2 linked regions of the Lonchura striata genome follow. The protein of the gene in region 2 interacts with the protein of the main gene of each other region in a pairwise test. Links are inferred from orthologs where the notes say so. Each region holds a gene or a part of one and is shown on either strand. Other genes may lie near its edges.

What was found.
Region 1: the proteins of PTPN11 (region 2) and TLK1 interact in binary tests that used the Homo sapiens proteins (3 or more experiments, as listed by UniProt). The link is inferred for Lonchura striata from reciprocal best matches to the Homo sapiens genes PTPN11 and TLK1.

What each region holds. Positions count from the first base shown.
Region 1 is NC_134610.1:20,256,009-20,263,387, reverse strand, and holds the start of TLK1 (serine/threonine-protein kinase tousled-like 1), read left to right. Parts: upstream 1-4,377; 5' UTR 4,378-4,458; coding exon 4,459-4,606; intron 4,607-5,038; exon of another isoform or gene 5,039-5,080; intron 5,081-7,379. UniProt on the Homo sapiens protein: Rapidly and transiently inhibited by phosphorylation following the generation of DNA double-stranded breaks during S-phase. This is cell cycle checkpoint and ATM-pathway dependent and appears to regulate processes involved in chromatin assembly.
Region 2 is NC_134620.1:11,592,010-11,599,125, reverse strand, and holds the start of PTPN11 (tyrosine-protein phosphatase non-receptor type 11), read left to right. Parts: upstream 1-4,100; 5' UTR 4,101-4,219; coding exon 4,220-4,233; intron 4,234-7,116. Other genes in the region: RPL6 (large ribosomal subunit protein eL6), read right to left, coding at 23-175, 567-751, 1,259-1,307, 2,199-2,342, 2,696-2,794, 2,885-3,133. UniProt on the Homo sapiens protein: Acts downstream of various receptor and cytoplasmic protein tyrosine kinases to participate in the signal transduction from the cell surface to the nucleus. Positively regulates MAPK signal transduction pathway. Dephosphorylates GAB1, ARHGAP35 and EGFR.

The sequences.
Region 1 (7,379 bases), on a different chromosome or scaffold from region 2:
CAAGGAGATGGAAGAAGCTACATGTAAAATAGATGCCAAAAGCATCAGAGGTAAAGACCCTAATGAATTCTGACTCCTGCCATTTCCCTGATTTGTAGCTGACAGAGGCTGATTTAAGTTTGGAAGCCTATGGTTCAGCATATAGTTTACTACTTTTCAGGGATATTGTCATTTCTTGTAACACTTCACTTTCTTTCCTAAAAGAACCAGCCTGCTTAATCAATTTCCTCTTCTACCTCTACTTCTTCCAATCATCTCTTGAATTGGAGGCCTTCCTTCTAATTACTGACATAATTTAAAAATGGTCTTATTTGGAACCTCTGTGTAAACATCCACTATTTATATAATCAGTTACCTGGCGTGGTCAGTCACTACGCCTCGGTGTTGCAGTATCTGCTGTTTGCATGAAACCTAAGCCAGCTAATAGCAAACTGACTTTAGTGGGAAAAACAGAAGTAAATATATGCAGTTATTAACAATATGCAATATTTGATGTTATTAGATACAAATCTTTCATGAGGACACCATAATGTATTTGGTGCCTATGAACAATGAAGGTGAAGATCTCAGAACGGGGAAGGAACTGCCATATCTCTGTAACTTGTCCCACAGTCATAGCATAGACTTCCTTAAGAACATGTGGGATAAACTCTGCATTTTGTGTAATGTTTGAAATGATGTCTCTTTGTTCTCTAAAGGATGTATGTGGAAATTTTGTAATTGACATTTGACCTGAGCACACAGTAATCTTTATAGATGCAAGGTAGATGTCTCCAAAAATTGTCACTATTCAGACCATTAATTTTTTTTCTTTAAGCATCTTCCTTTGCTATTTGCCAGTTAACTTCTCTTACTTCCTAGAGATTGTGAAATTACTGTGATTAAAGTTTCTTGCATTGATAATTCCAGTGACAAATTTGAAAGCTCTTACAATTTTAATGCTTTTCAGGATTTTGGAATAAGAAAAATTCCTTATGCTTTTCTGTTTTTCAACTATCCTCAATTAAACACTTACTACTGCCATAAACATTGCTAACTTTCATTTGACACATTCTTATGAGAAAAACAGCACACACACTTTTCACTCCTTTCTGTTCTGAGTTTTGAGGTCTTCTTCCTTAGGAATTAGCAAAACTAAATGAGTTTCCTGGGACTTCACCTGGAGTCAAGTTTTCCCTTATAGGTAGGTGTGTGGCACCTTATTCATTGTTATCCAGAGCAATCCCACTGAAAGTTGATTCCCTCTATCTACTACCTCAAGTTATGCCTGATGTTAATGGTATGCAGTGGTCACATAAACCTTGATAGCAGACTATTCTGTTCCTAAAAACTAGAAGGCAAAGAGAAAGATTTAATACTTATTGTATTTTAAAAAAATAATTAGTAATACTTAGTACTATTTGAGTTGGATTTAGTATTTAATATTTTGGGCAGGTGATGCTGACTGACTGTTCACCACTGTGAGAAAAAGGCCATTTCTCTGGCCACTGGATCATAAAGTTTTACTGCAGAAGAAACACAGGGCATTCAAGGAAAAGCATTATGTACATTTACGATGCTATTTGATAAGGGAAGTCTTTTGAAATTTGAAATTTCTGAAAGGTACTGAGGAAGGTTTCTCTCCTGCCATGATAGTATTAAATTCATAACACTGAAGCAATGGGGCTTTACAAATAAAAGGGTATTTTAAAAAAAGTGTCAGCTCTAACTCAGTAGGAAAGTAGGTTTTCTGTAAACTAAAGAGAGGAATATACCCAGCTCCATGTATTCTTGAAGTTATGTATGTTGTTTCATCTGGAGATGATCTATATAATTTACACTCTGCTTTCAATCTCTACATCAACAATTCATGAAACCAAGAGATACAGCTCTACTATGTTACAAAATGCAGACTCAACCCATACTTTGCAGCAGGTACTGTGCTCTGCTGGGAAGTCCTGTAGTGCATGCCCACTTACTCCTGGTCTCTCGATGAGGTGTTGTCTAACACATTATGAGATGGCAAAGGTCTGATTATATTTCATAGCATCAATATTTGAAAATATAAAAGACACTTCAGCATTTTTATAATATTTAATCTGCATGTCTGATAGAGGAAATAAAGAACGGGATCTTCTGCATGATGTCCTGTTACCTTAATCAAGGCAAATAATGCTTTATTTAAACAAGAAGTCTTAACTGTGTCAGTAGAATGATTTGTAGGCAACAGTTAGTAAGCAAAACTGGAAGAAAGAATGCTTGCTTATGCATGGTTTTGTAAGGATAGCAAGGGTTTGTATGAAGTGGATGCAAAGAGCTATAAACAAAGAGACAATTTCTTAATTTCTTTCACTTACTGCTTTTTACTTAGCAGATTTTGAAAGAAGCATGCTGCAGCAGGATATATTAATCAGGAAACAAGGTGCATGTTCACTTATGCTATCATGGATTGTGGGATTATGTACCTAGCAAGAATATTCTATACCAGCTGCTAAGTATTAATACTGCAGTCAGAGTGAACTAGCACTGTTCTACTTCATTCCCAAGTATTGGAAATTTCCTGATGTAATTTGCTTATGTAAAGTCTGAGAAGTCTTTAGGATCAAGTCCTTATTAAAAGCAAGTCCTTGCTGAAATACCATATCACCTCTCTTAAATATATATATATATATATATAACTAGATATATGCCCTGGAACAGACTTGTTTAGCAAGCAAACATACTAATTTTTACTTTTAGTTAATACCAAACTGTAAAGAAACTTCCAGCTATGCTGTATACTTGTGGGAGGTGAAGATCTTAGATAATTTCACAGATGTCACTTTAAAAGGAAGAGACAGAATTAGTAATATGTGTGTTGTGCAGAGAACTGCAATCCAACATTAGTAATCTATTCCTGTCATTCTCAAATAGAAGGGAAAGTAGGTTAGTAGATGGACAGGATGTCTCCACACAGCAACCACAAAATAAGTGCCATGCCTGAATGATGGATATATTCTTCATATGCATAAAATGCAATATATCCACAACCCGTTGATTTTTTGTAAGTAATCAAACTCATTGTTATCCCTGTTATATATATAAATATAAAAAAATATATTTACCAGTTGCACTGGCAAATTAAAAGGCTTTGTTTCAGAAGTGATTTTCCATATATCTCACATTCTCGGTCACTATTATGTTAATTTCAAGGAAGAAGAAACGGAAAAATTCGGCGAAGTTTGCACTTTAGTCTCTAAACTCAAGGCAAAGAGAGACGTTTTGAAATTTGCCAGGTCGCTGTTGGTGCCCACCTGGGAGCCCCAGCCTGGCGGTTGAAGCGGGTGAGGTGGTGGGCCTGGTAAATGGCTCCTGCCCGACTTCCAGTTCATCCGATGGGAGCTCCCGCTCCTCAGCGAAGCAGCTAAAGCCTTCTCCCTCGGGACATCAGCTTCTCCCGAGTGCCGCCGAGTCTCTGCTGGCACACCATCCTGTCCGGAAAAAGGAACGCCGAGAAGCGGCAGGCGCCCGAGAGCTCCCGGCGATGCTGCCTGAACAACATTCACCTGGATCGCGCTGGGAAGCGCCGGCTCAGCGCCGCCGCTGCCGCCCGCACTCCGGCAGCGGGCTGGGCTGGCCCCGCGCGGCCGCACGCCGGGGAGGTGTCGGGGCGGCGCGGCCCCGGCCCCGGCCCCGGCACCGCGCGTACCGTCTCCGTCTCCGCCGCCGCTCCCGCCCCCGCCGCCCCGCCCCGACACAACCATGGCCGTGGCGGCGGGGCGCGGGGGAAGGCGCGGCGGCACGGGCGGACCGTGCCGCCGGGGAAACCGAGACGGAGGGGAGCGCCGCGGCCTCAGGGGAGCTAGCTCCGGCCGGGCCGCGGCGGCCAGAAGGCCGCCTGCGGCGCGGAAGGTGCGCGCTTGAGCAAGGCAGGGAGGTATCGCCGCGGGACGGGCGTGCACGGGGAGAAGGGTCAGCCGGCGGGCGGCTGCGAACCGGCCCGGGTCGGAGCCCGGAGGCGGGAGCAGCCGGCGAGCTCGGGCCGCGCGGCGCGGTGAGGCTGGGGGCAGGTGCGTGCGCGGCCGACGCCGCTCCCGCCGGCCGCCCCTGGGCGGCTCCGGCTCGGCGGGGCTCGGCTGGGCGCCGGCGGAGCGCGGCGCTCGCTCGGCTCGCGATCGTGTTTGCGCATGACCCCTCCCCGCCTGCGCCCTCCCCTCCCCTCCCCGGCGGCAGCGGCGGCGGCGGCGGGGAAGGTTGGCCTCAGACACAGGCGGCTGCTCGGCGGCGGCGACGCAGTGCAGAGGTGCGGGCAGGTTGCGCTGGCCCCGCGCCCCGTCTCTCTCGCGCCCCGCCTGCCTCCGGAGCTCGCTCCCAGCCGGCGGCCTCCCCGCGCCGGTGTCGGGCCGGCCCCCCGGCCATGAGCGCGGCGCTGGGTGTCCCCCCGCCGCGCCGCCTTCCCCGCCGCCCCCGGCGGCTGCCGGGCTCCAGGAAAGTAGCTTGATGAGTGTCCAAAGTAGCAGTGGAAGTTTGGAGGGGCCGCCATCTTGGTCCCGGCTCTCCACGTCCCCACCGAGCCTGCAGGGCTGCTCCGCGGCGGCGACGGCCTCCCAGCTGCACGGCGCGCCGCCCGGCAAGCCGCCCAAGGAAGGTAACCAGCGCGCCGCGGGGCTGCGCGGGGGGCCCGGCCCTTGGGGAGGGGCCCGGCCGCCGCCGCCGGAGGCCGGTCCCGGGCCGCTGGGAAGCGGCGGCGGGAGAGGCCGGTGCCCCCGGCGGCGGCGCGGGGTCAGCGCCGGGCCCGGTGGTGGCGAGCGGAACCTCGGTCGCTGGGCGAGCGGGGCCCCGCCGCCCCCGCCCGCTCGTCGGCGCGGCGGCGCCTCGTTGTTACCCCCCGCGCCGGGCCGCGCAGGGGAACCCGCCGTGCTCCCTCCGGCCCCGGGCCGTCCGCCTGCCGCAGCCGCTCGCGTCTCCTCGGGCGGCCGCTCGCCGCGTCCTCCCCGAAATAGGCTCCCCTCCGCCAGCGGCTGAGTAGAAGTGCTGCGCCGGAGGATGCAGCCGCTGTTGCTGGAGGGAGTTGGGCACTTTTGGCATCATGGAGGTGGGAAGAGAGGGGCCGACACCGGAGGTTCGTCCCCGTGGGGAAAGCGCCCTCAGGGGCGGCCGGTTTTGCGGCCAGAAGTGACAGGGCGCCTTGCGGCCGCCACGGAATGACTGCAACTTTCTCCTGTCCTCCATCACGCCTTCGATGATAATATTTTTCTCCTCCCTCCCCTGCTCCTCCCCTCTTGTGTTACACCGACAGCGACAGCAGGGTGTTGTGGGTGTTTGCAGGGAATATCTGTATGAAGGTTATGAGCAAACAAGTCCCTTCGCTGTTCCCTTTCGGGTATTGTCTGCTTTTCCTCCTTGTGTTGTGTTGCCACAAGATGTAGCAGTTTTACAGCTAGTGAGTTGTTCGGCGCTTTTAGCTAAAATAACTACTTGCCGAACGCCGGTTAGTGGCGGAGGAGAACTTTTATGCACAAATGCTTGCATATTGAGCAGTTGTATAATTTTAATTGATTTGCCCCAGATTAATGAATACCATGTAGCTTCTGCAGAACGTCATCGCCCAAGCAGGAAACTTGCTAACTTAAAATAGAAATAGTTGCGAAGATGGAGAGTCTTTGTTTTTTAGGTCTTCCTGTGGTTGCTTGCTTGCTTGCTTTTTGGGTTTTCTTGGGTTTTTTATTTGGTTGATAAGCAATATAGGGACTTAGTAACAGGGATTCGACGTCCTTAAAATGTATAATGCAGTCTGGTTTCTCCATTTTCCACACCAGTAGTTGTCAGACTTGTATCACTCTGTGTCACTTTTGCACACGCTCCTGCAGGTAGATTGACATGAAATGCTCTAGAAAATACCTGGGAAGGAATTATGGTATATGTTAAAGATGCTGAGTAAAGTGGCAGGCATTTTGTGCTCGTCTTCTCTGGGAAACCAAAGCTGTTAGAAAAACCATCAGCAGCCAAATTCATAGTTTTAAGTTTATTGAGAGCAGGTATTTTCACTGTTGCAGCTCTTGTTAGGAATATGCATACAGATAATATGTATATGTAGGATATTTTTGGATGTATTTCAAATACCTGCCATTTAAATTTGAAATTATTATTGCAATATAAATTATCTATCTATTTATTTTAACAAAAAATGGTGGTCCATGAGTAGCTCTGTTGAGACAAGAAAAATATTTTTTGTGAAGCTCATTTTTATATGCTCTTTACATTTTTCTTTCTTACAACTCAGGCTGTTGGATTTTTCCAGGTACTGTAATTTGCATCCTCTAATACAGATTATGGGTTAAAAGTAATCAATACCTTGGTGTTTGTTTGGTACTATAATGTGTTGTATTTTTATAGTGTTCCTTGGTTGTGTTTAAATTGTGTGTCCTCACTAGGTAGCTCTCTTTGAAAATAAGCATAAGCTGCCGTGCTTGGGTTCATGTTTTGCATTCATGTTTGTGAGATGTTATCAAGGCATCTTACTTTATATATGGTTTACAAAGAAGTAGCTTGCCAGAAATCAGTAGGCCCTGAAATATAAATATATTAGTATGTTCATAGGCATTGGCTTATATATGTGAAAGACTGATGCCAGATCAAACTAATAAGCAAGGAGTATTTGCAGTACAGTGTGTTTATGGGAGCCTGGGCTGTCATCAATTCTAAACTTGTGATACCTGGGGCTTGTGAGTTTTGGAGCAGTGCACAAGGCTGCCAGCCTGCACTGGATCCCAGCTGCATTGCTGCTGGTGCCAGTTTTGAGTGGGTAATATTTACCATACAGCGCATTTGGCACTTGTGCAGAGCTTCTTTCCCAGCTTGGCCTTCTTGTTTTGGGTTAAATCCCTTTGGTTGTCTCCTGTGAGAGTTATGTCCCTGTTGCCTTTGGAAGTGCAGACCTTCATGGAGTGTACCAAGTGTGCTGTGGTTGATCTGACCTCAACTATGAAGGTCTGGTATCAGCTCACATGTCTCACATGGGCATTTGAAGATTCTGGTTTATTAAGAGCAGAAACCATCTGCACGTTGATTTAGGAAGTTCTAAAAGTATTTTCGGAATCTCTTAATAGGAAAAAAGCAAAAAATAAAAGCTCTAGCATATATGACAATTGCACAAACACATTTTAAAAAACTGGCAATATCTTGTCAATATCAAGAGACTACTTGGGAAGTATGGGTGAAATTAGAGGAAATAATAATTTAAAAATATTTTAATCTTTTAAAATGTGCTGCAACGTTGCAGCAACATTTTCCATTGGATGCTATCTTCTATATCTTGATCTAGAGTGGCCTCATGGCTTTGCTGTATTGATTTGATTTTTTGTTTTGAGGTTTTGAAATGAAAAGACTGGGATGGACTTGAATACAGTTGCAGCTGTACA
Region 2 (7,116 bases):
TAATGTGGTGCTTCCAGAAGGCTCAGAACACCAATTTGTGAGGATAAACTCCATTTGAGAGAGAGAATGTGGAGCGCAGGTACCCCCGGAGCTGAGGCACCTTCTTGATCCGTGCCAGGATCTGGGAATCCACGGCCTTCTGGTCTGTCTTGCGCTGCTCCGTCAGCTCATATTTCTGCAAAGCACAGAGAACAAGATGAAAATCCTGGGAGCAACTGCAGGATCCTTTAGAGAGAGGAGGAAATTCAGTGTAAAGCCTGAGTTTTAGGATTTTAAAGAAATCTTTCCCCCATTTGTTTTTGATAATGAGAAGGTGGTGCAGCACTGAAGCATTCCTTGGAGCCAACGCTGACAGCATTTCTTGGTCAAAAAAAGACATTTAACTGGAATAGTAACTCCTCTTCAGAGAAAAATCTCTGCATTCAGAAGGGGGAGTACCTCCTTTTAATGGCATTACCTCACTTTATTAATGACCACTTAAAATCAACCCGGCTTTTTTCATGCTAATTTCCTCTTTCCAGTCTAGCCTGGAGCATTGAGAAAGAAGGAACCACCCTGTCCCTTACTTCTTTCTCAGTGTCAAAGATCTCTCCTTCCTGGTGCTTTGGCTTCCTCAGCCGCTTCTTCTTGAAGTAGGAATCCGTGAGATGCTTGGGAATTTTCACCCCAGTGAGATCCACCTTTGTGGATGTGGCAATAACAAATTTCTGGTGGGCCCTGCGCAGTGGGACACGGTTGACAGCCAGGGGGCCTGAAGGTGGAGAAGACAAGAGAGAACAAGGTCAGCTTCTCTGGTGAAAACCACTTCCTTAAAGCTGAATTTTTGTAGTCTATGTGAGGACCAGTTCCTTCAGAGCTGCCTACAGATAAAATCTCAACAGTCAAACCCCTCTAGAAATACAAAAATCCTTTCTGAGCTCTTTCAGTTAGTCAGATCCTGAAACTTAAATCATCTCTCCTCCACCTCCCTGCAAAGTCACAAATGGCAGAATCATTCAAGTTGGAAAAGATCCCCAAGATCATCAAGTCCAACTTCTGACAGATCACCACCTTGTCAACTAGAGCAGAGCACCAAATGCCACATTCAGTTGTTCCTTGAACACCTCCAGGGGTGCTGACTCCACAAATATGATTCCCCACTGATGTGCCAAACCAAACATGTGCAGATGTGCTACTGACTCGACACAAACTAGAACTCAAAAAACCCAAAGAAGCCCCCAGAACAAAAGTACCATGTTTAAATATATTTTTTTTTTACCTGTAACAAGCAGAAGGCCAGTATCAAGCTGCTTCAGGAACACAACACGCTGCAAAGAAATGAGATGGGACATCAATCCTCAGGTCCCAGTGCTCCCATACCATAGTCAAACTGGGATTGTGCCTCTGTTCCTGGTACAAGTACTGACAGTGCTCCAGGCATGGGTCAGCTGTGCCACCTGAGGAGCTGCCAAATTGTGATCCAAGCTCCAGCACCTCCAGGTGCCTCCTCTCCAATAATGTGACTCTCCATGAGCTTTCTCTTTCAAGGCTAAGCAAAGCCAATTACTTGTTTTTGCTTTTCTCCCATCCTACAGGATGGTAACAGCTATCCCAACACTGAAATCCTTTGAGTTACAGGCAAGAATTGGATGAACACCACAAGGACTCTATAAATTCACACAGTCAGAGCCATTCCCCCATTGTGTTTTGCTCCTTCTGGTCAAGGCTTCCTTCTCTGGCAGCATTCTTTATGAAATCATGAATGTCAAAGAGAGAGAATTCAAGAAAATAAAGGATACCACTTGTGTTGGTGACCATCCTGAGGATGGGGAGCCCAATATAACGATTCAGTGCTACCCTATAATTAGATTAAGAATGAAACTTAAATTTTTCCTCTAATTTTTCCTTTGCAGTAACTGCTGCAGGACAAAGTTTTGTTTTTGTAGGAGCAGCAACAGAAACAGGCACTGGCTTTGCTCTGCAGCAAAACTCTCTGCATTGTGTCCAAGCAACTAGCTGAGCCTGTTTTACTTCCAGCTCTGCTCAGAACAACCTTAATTCAACAAACATTTCACCCCTGCCACCACTAAAGTCCGGACGAGGAAACCACCCCGACAGAAGTCGCAGATTTACACCCAGCAGGGTCAGACAAAATCAGCTGGGAGATTCAGGGGTGTCTGAAACGCTGCCAACGCCCTGGCAGCAGGAGCTGTGCCCACCTTGCCGCGGTGCCGGCCGGTGAGCAGGATGAGCACCGTGCCGGGGGTGATGGACGCCCGCAGGCGCCGCTTGTGCTCGCAGAACGGCTTCTTGCCATGGCTCAGCAGCTTCCGGGGAACGTCCTCCGTGGGGTAGTACCTGGGCTGGAACAGAGGACAACCACCTTGTACCACCCGCGTCTCACAGCATGGCAGCTCCTCAGGAAAGCTCTCCCTGTTGCCCTGAGGTTCAGCTTTCTGAAGGATTTCTGCTTCAGATGAGCTTGGGAACACAGTGAATGTTTTGGAATAGTGTCCAGCTCTGTATTTGTGCGTGCTTCCACCTCAGCACAGCAACATGCTGGACAGAGAATTCCCACCTGAATTCCCACCACCTCCCACGAACTCACAGAAAGCACACCACAGGCTGAGGGCCCTACATCATCCCAGCATGAGGCTCATCACCCAGCCTAAAGCCCCCTGCACCAAACCACGAGCATCCCGGTGCTCTTCCATACCATCTTCCGGATTTTAACCACCCGGCTGCCTCCATTCTTGTCTCCACCCACTGGCTTGGTGATGGTGGCACGGGGCATTTCCTTCTTCTTCTTCTCTATCTGTGTGCAAAGAACAAGGAAAACTCAGCACATTTCACACTAAAGGCAGCACGATAAACCCGATTACTGCCCCAGTGCTCCCCACCCTACCTTTGTCTCTGGGGCCGTGTACTTGCGCTTGTACAGGGCTTTCCTGGCGTACATGGCTGAGCGGGAATACCTCCCGATGCCCCGGGCCAGGACAGGGTTTCGGCTGGCATGGTACTTCTTCACCCTCTTCTTCTTGTCCCCCGCTGCTTTCTGGCTTGGCTTCTGCTCCGCCAGTTTCTTCTGTCCTGCCTTCTTCTTGGCCGACTTCTTCTCACCCGGTTTCTTCTCCGGCGCCTTCTCACCCGCCATCTGCGATCACAGTCGGCAGGGTTTAGAGCTCGTTACAAAGCACAGGAAATAAAATAATCCAAACAATCCTTCACACCTTTCCAGTAGCTGTCAGCCACCTCCTCCAGCCATAGCTGACCGAGTCCTGCTCCCTGTGCGCCCCTACATGACTTGAAATGCTCCTGCACGCTGCTCTCAACAGCTCCAGCGCCCATTCGGTGGAAACGCACACACACCCCGAGCCTGCAGCCGCCGCTGTCCCGGTTTGGGACTGCCCCGGCCCCGCGGAGCTGCCGGGCCGTGCCCCAGCGGCAGCCCCCGTCCAGCCCCAGCCCAGCTCCCGGGAGGCTCCGCCGCGGCCTCCGCATCCCGCCGCGGCCTAGCCCACTTGGACCGGCGACACTCCCACTCCTCCCCGCCCCCGCGCCCATCCGCGCCCCTCCGCCGCTCCCCGAGGCTGCCGGGCCGCGCCTGTGACCGCGGCGGGGCCGCCGGCGGGCGGATGGCGGCGGATGGAGCGCGGCGGGCCCGGCTCCGCTGGCGGCAGCTCCGCCATCCTCACCTTCCGGGGGAGCAAAAGGAACTCACATCCGGGTGCGCGGGCTAAGGACAGCGCGGCGTCTGACGTCAGCGCGCCGCGCGGGGGAGCACGGGACTCGTAGTCCGGGAGCGCCCGCGCTGCCCGGGGCAGCCCCGGGTCAGCGGCGGGGGGACACCAGACCCCGCGCCCGCTCCGGGGGCTGCGGGAGCCCCGGCCCGGGCAGCGGCCCCGCCGCGCCGCCGCCGCTTAACCCGCGTCCGCTCGGGGCTCGGCCGGCTCCGCGCCCCGCCCCGCGCGCGAGCGGGGCTGCGGTGTCCCCGCGCTCCCGCGCCGGGGGTCCCGCAGCCCCCGGGGCGGAGCGGCGGCGCGGGGCGGAGCGCGGCGCGGGGCGATGACGGCGCGGGCGGTGACGCGGGGCGGGCCGCGCCGCGCTCGCGGGCCCGAGGCCGCCGTTGTTCGCGCTCCCCGCAGCGCCCGAAGGCCGCGGCCCCGCCGGGACCCCCATGTGAGCGGCGGGCGGCGCGGGGGGGCCGGCGCACCGCGACCCGCCGGGGCCACGGGGGAAGATGACATCGCGGAGGTGAGGCGGGAGCGGCGGCCGCGCCGGCGGGGAGGGCGGCGGGCAGGGGCCGCGGCTCCGGGGGCGCCTCCGCGCCCGCTCCGGGGGTGCGGGGACGCGGCCGCTCCCTGCGGGCGGGCGGCACCCCCGGGAGCCGCCCCGGCAGCGCCCCGCTCCCGGGGGATGTCCCGGTGCCCGCTCCCGGGGGGATGTCCCCGAGCCCGCTCCCGGAGGATGTCCCGGTGCCCGCTCCCGGGGGATGTCCCGGTGCCCGCTCCCGGGGGGATGTCCCGGTGCCCGCTCCCGGGAGATGTCCCGGTGCCCGCTCCCGGGGGGATGTCCCGGTGCCCGCTCCCGGGGGGATGTCCCGGTGCCCGCTCCCGGAGGATATCCCGGTGCCCGCTCCCGGGGGGATGTCCCGGTGCCCGTTCCCGGGGGGATGTCCCGGAGCCCGCTCCCGGGGGATGTCCCCGAGCCCGTTCCCGGGGGGATGTCCCGGTGCCCGTTCCCGGGGGGATGTCCCGGTGCCCGCTCCCGCCCGTTCCCGGAGGATGTCCCCGCTCGGTCCCAGCGGAACCTCCCGGGGGTGGAGGGATCGGGTGGCTTCGAGTGTCTCGTCGCCGGTGCTCCCGGTTTTTGGGGGGTTCAAGTGAGTGTCCCCGCGGAGCGCTGGAGCCGAGGGGTGAATGGTTCGTGTGCGGGATGTGCTCGGTACCGAGGCACAGGGGTCGTGCTGCTCCGTCGGGAGGCAGCACGGCTGATTGACCCACCCTAAAACACGGCCCAGCTACAGAGCGAGTATCCCTGAGCTGCCCACAGCTGCCTTCTTAACCAGTTATCACCATTCGTTCTAATTTCAAACCCTTGTGGCGCCGTTAAAGCACTGATGAACAGCCAAACCCATTTCTTTGTTGTAGCTTCTCACTGTCCTTAAGGAATTTTGACATTTGTCTGGTACCCAGTGTCCTTTTGGGCTCAGAGATTTGGGTAAATGTTGGGTTTTAGTGGAATTATTGTCAGAAAAGGGTATAGGCATATTTACCCTTTTTAACAGATCTGTTCTAAGATTCTCAGACTGGTTTGGGTTGGAAGGGACCATAAAGCTCATCCCATTCCATCCCCTGCCATGGGCAGGGACACCTTCCAGTATCTCAGGTTGCTCCAAGCTCCCACCTGACCTTGGACACTTCCAGGGATGGGGCAGCCACAATTTCAATTCATTCACCTCTCTAACTAATACCTATTAAATTATAATTTCTTCAAGGGTAAGTTGTCCTCTCTCTTCTTCTGCTCAAGATGGTGAATCTGGATGAGTTGGTTTCAATCTCATGGCCATTTATAGTAGTTGGGTTTTTTTTAACTATATGGAGGCTTTTTAATCTATGTTGTGTTTTCTGGATATGCCTGCTCACACTGGGAACAAGTTACCTTTTGGCAGCACTGTGAATTTCCTTCTTGCCAGAAAAATGCTGTTATTCCGCTTAGAGCCCTAAATTGTAACTTGTGAGGGAGACTGAAAAAAGCTGGGAAATATCAACTGATGAGCCTATAAATAGGAGTAATTAAAGTACCCGTCAGCACATCCCCAGTGCTGTGGCTGTGACAGCTGAGACAGAACTGATTCCATCTCTCCTTTGCTCTTGCAAAGGTGATTAAAAAAACCAATCACTGCATGGAAAATTGTATTGATTTAATTCTTTTGGTTTGGTAAGAGAGAAATGTGCTGGCAGTGTGTGACTTAGGGAGCACAGATCCTGCTGGTCTTTGCTGGACCGTGATAACAAAAAAGGGATCATTGTGGGAAGGGTGGATTTTCCACTGGGGTTTTTTTGTTTTTTCATCAGAAGGTTCCTTGCTTTGCTGATACCCTCTTGGTTTTGAGCCCCTGCTGTTTCACTGGTTCCTCTCACCAACATTCCCACCTTGCTGTGAGCTAATTATGGGCTGGCAACGGTGTATTCCAAGCCCCCGAGTGGGAATTGCTGCGGGAGGGATGGTGAGGAGCCAGTCTGACCAGGGCGTGGGTTTGGGTGACTTCTGCGACCGCATTTACTGCCCTTGGCCGGGGCAGCTCTGCACCTGCTGCCACGGGACATGGGCAGGGAAAACAGGATAAAAAGCCCCAAATGCATTCCATCCCTATAAAAGGAAGTGTGAGAGCAGGTCCTGGCTCAGGGGGGGTGTCACTGCGGAGCGCTGGCCCTCGGCTGTCCCCTCCCAGCTTGGAAGGGCTGCAGCCCCAAGGTTGGGAGCACAAGGGATGGCAGCACTTCAAGGAGGATCCTCCTGGCGGCCGGAACCGCTGGCAGGGATCACTGACACCCCCATTCTGCTATTTGGGGTGGCTGACAAATGCAGCTTCCTACTCAAAGCCAAAAATACAGAGCTGAGGGAGCAGGAGGACGAGGCGCCAGCAGAGCCAGAGTTACATAAAGTGCAAGAAACCAAGAAACCCTCCCAGGTGTAGCTTGGCTTCGCTGCACTTGGCTTTTGGCATCTTGGTGTGGGTGTGGGAGAGAGATTTTGGGGTTTGAACCATCTATGGTGTGTTTAGCCTCTCCTTTAAATGCTGGTTACATAGCAGGTTATTTGTGTTCACCTCTGTACATAAATTATTAATTTTCCTTTGCTGTAACCACTCAAGTACAGCTACTTCCTTGAGGTTCAGGGTGGGATGCAGAAGATATTCCATTGGATGAAGTTTATGGAATGTCATCATAAATCTGGAGAAGCAATCCCAATAATTTCTCCTCTGCCTCTTTAGACATTTTTTTGCTATAAACTCCAAAATTTACCAAGGTTTCTCTTGAATCCTGTGCATATTTAAAAAGTTTGCAAACTGCACATTTTTTGTTGTTTTTTTTTTTTTTTTCTCCTAATGGAAGTAAAATTTTGAGATTGGAA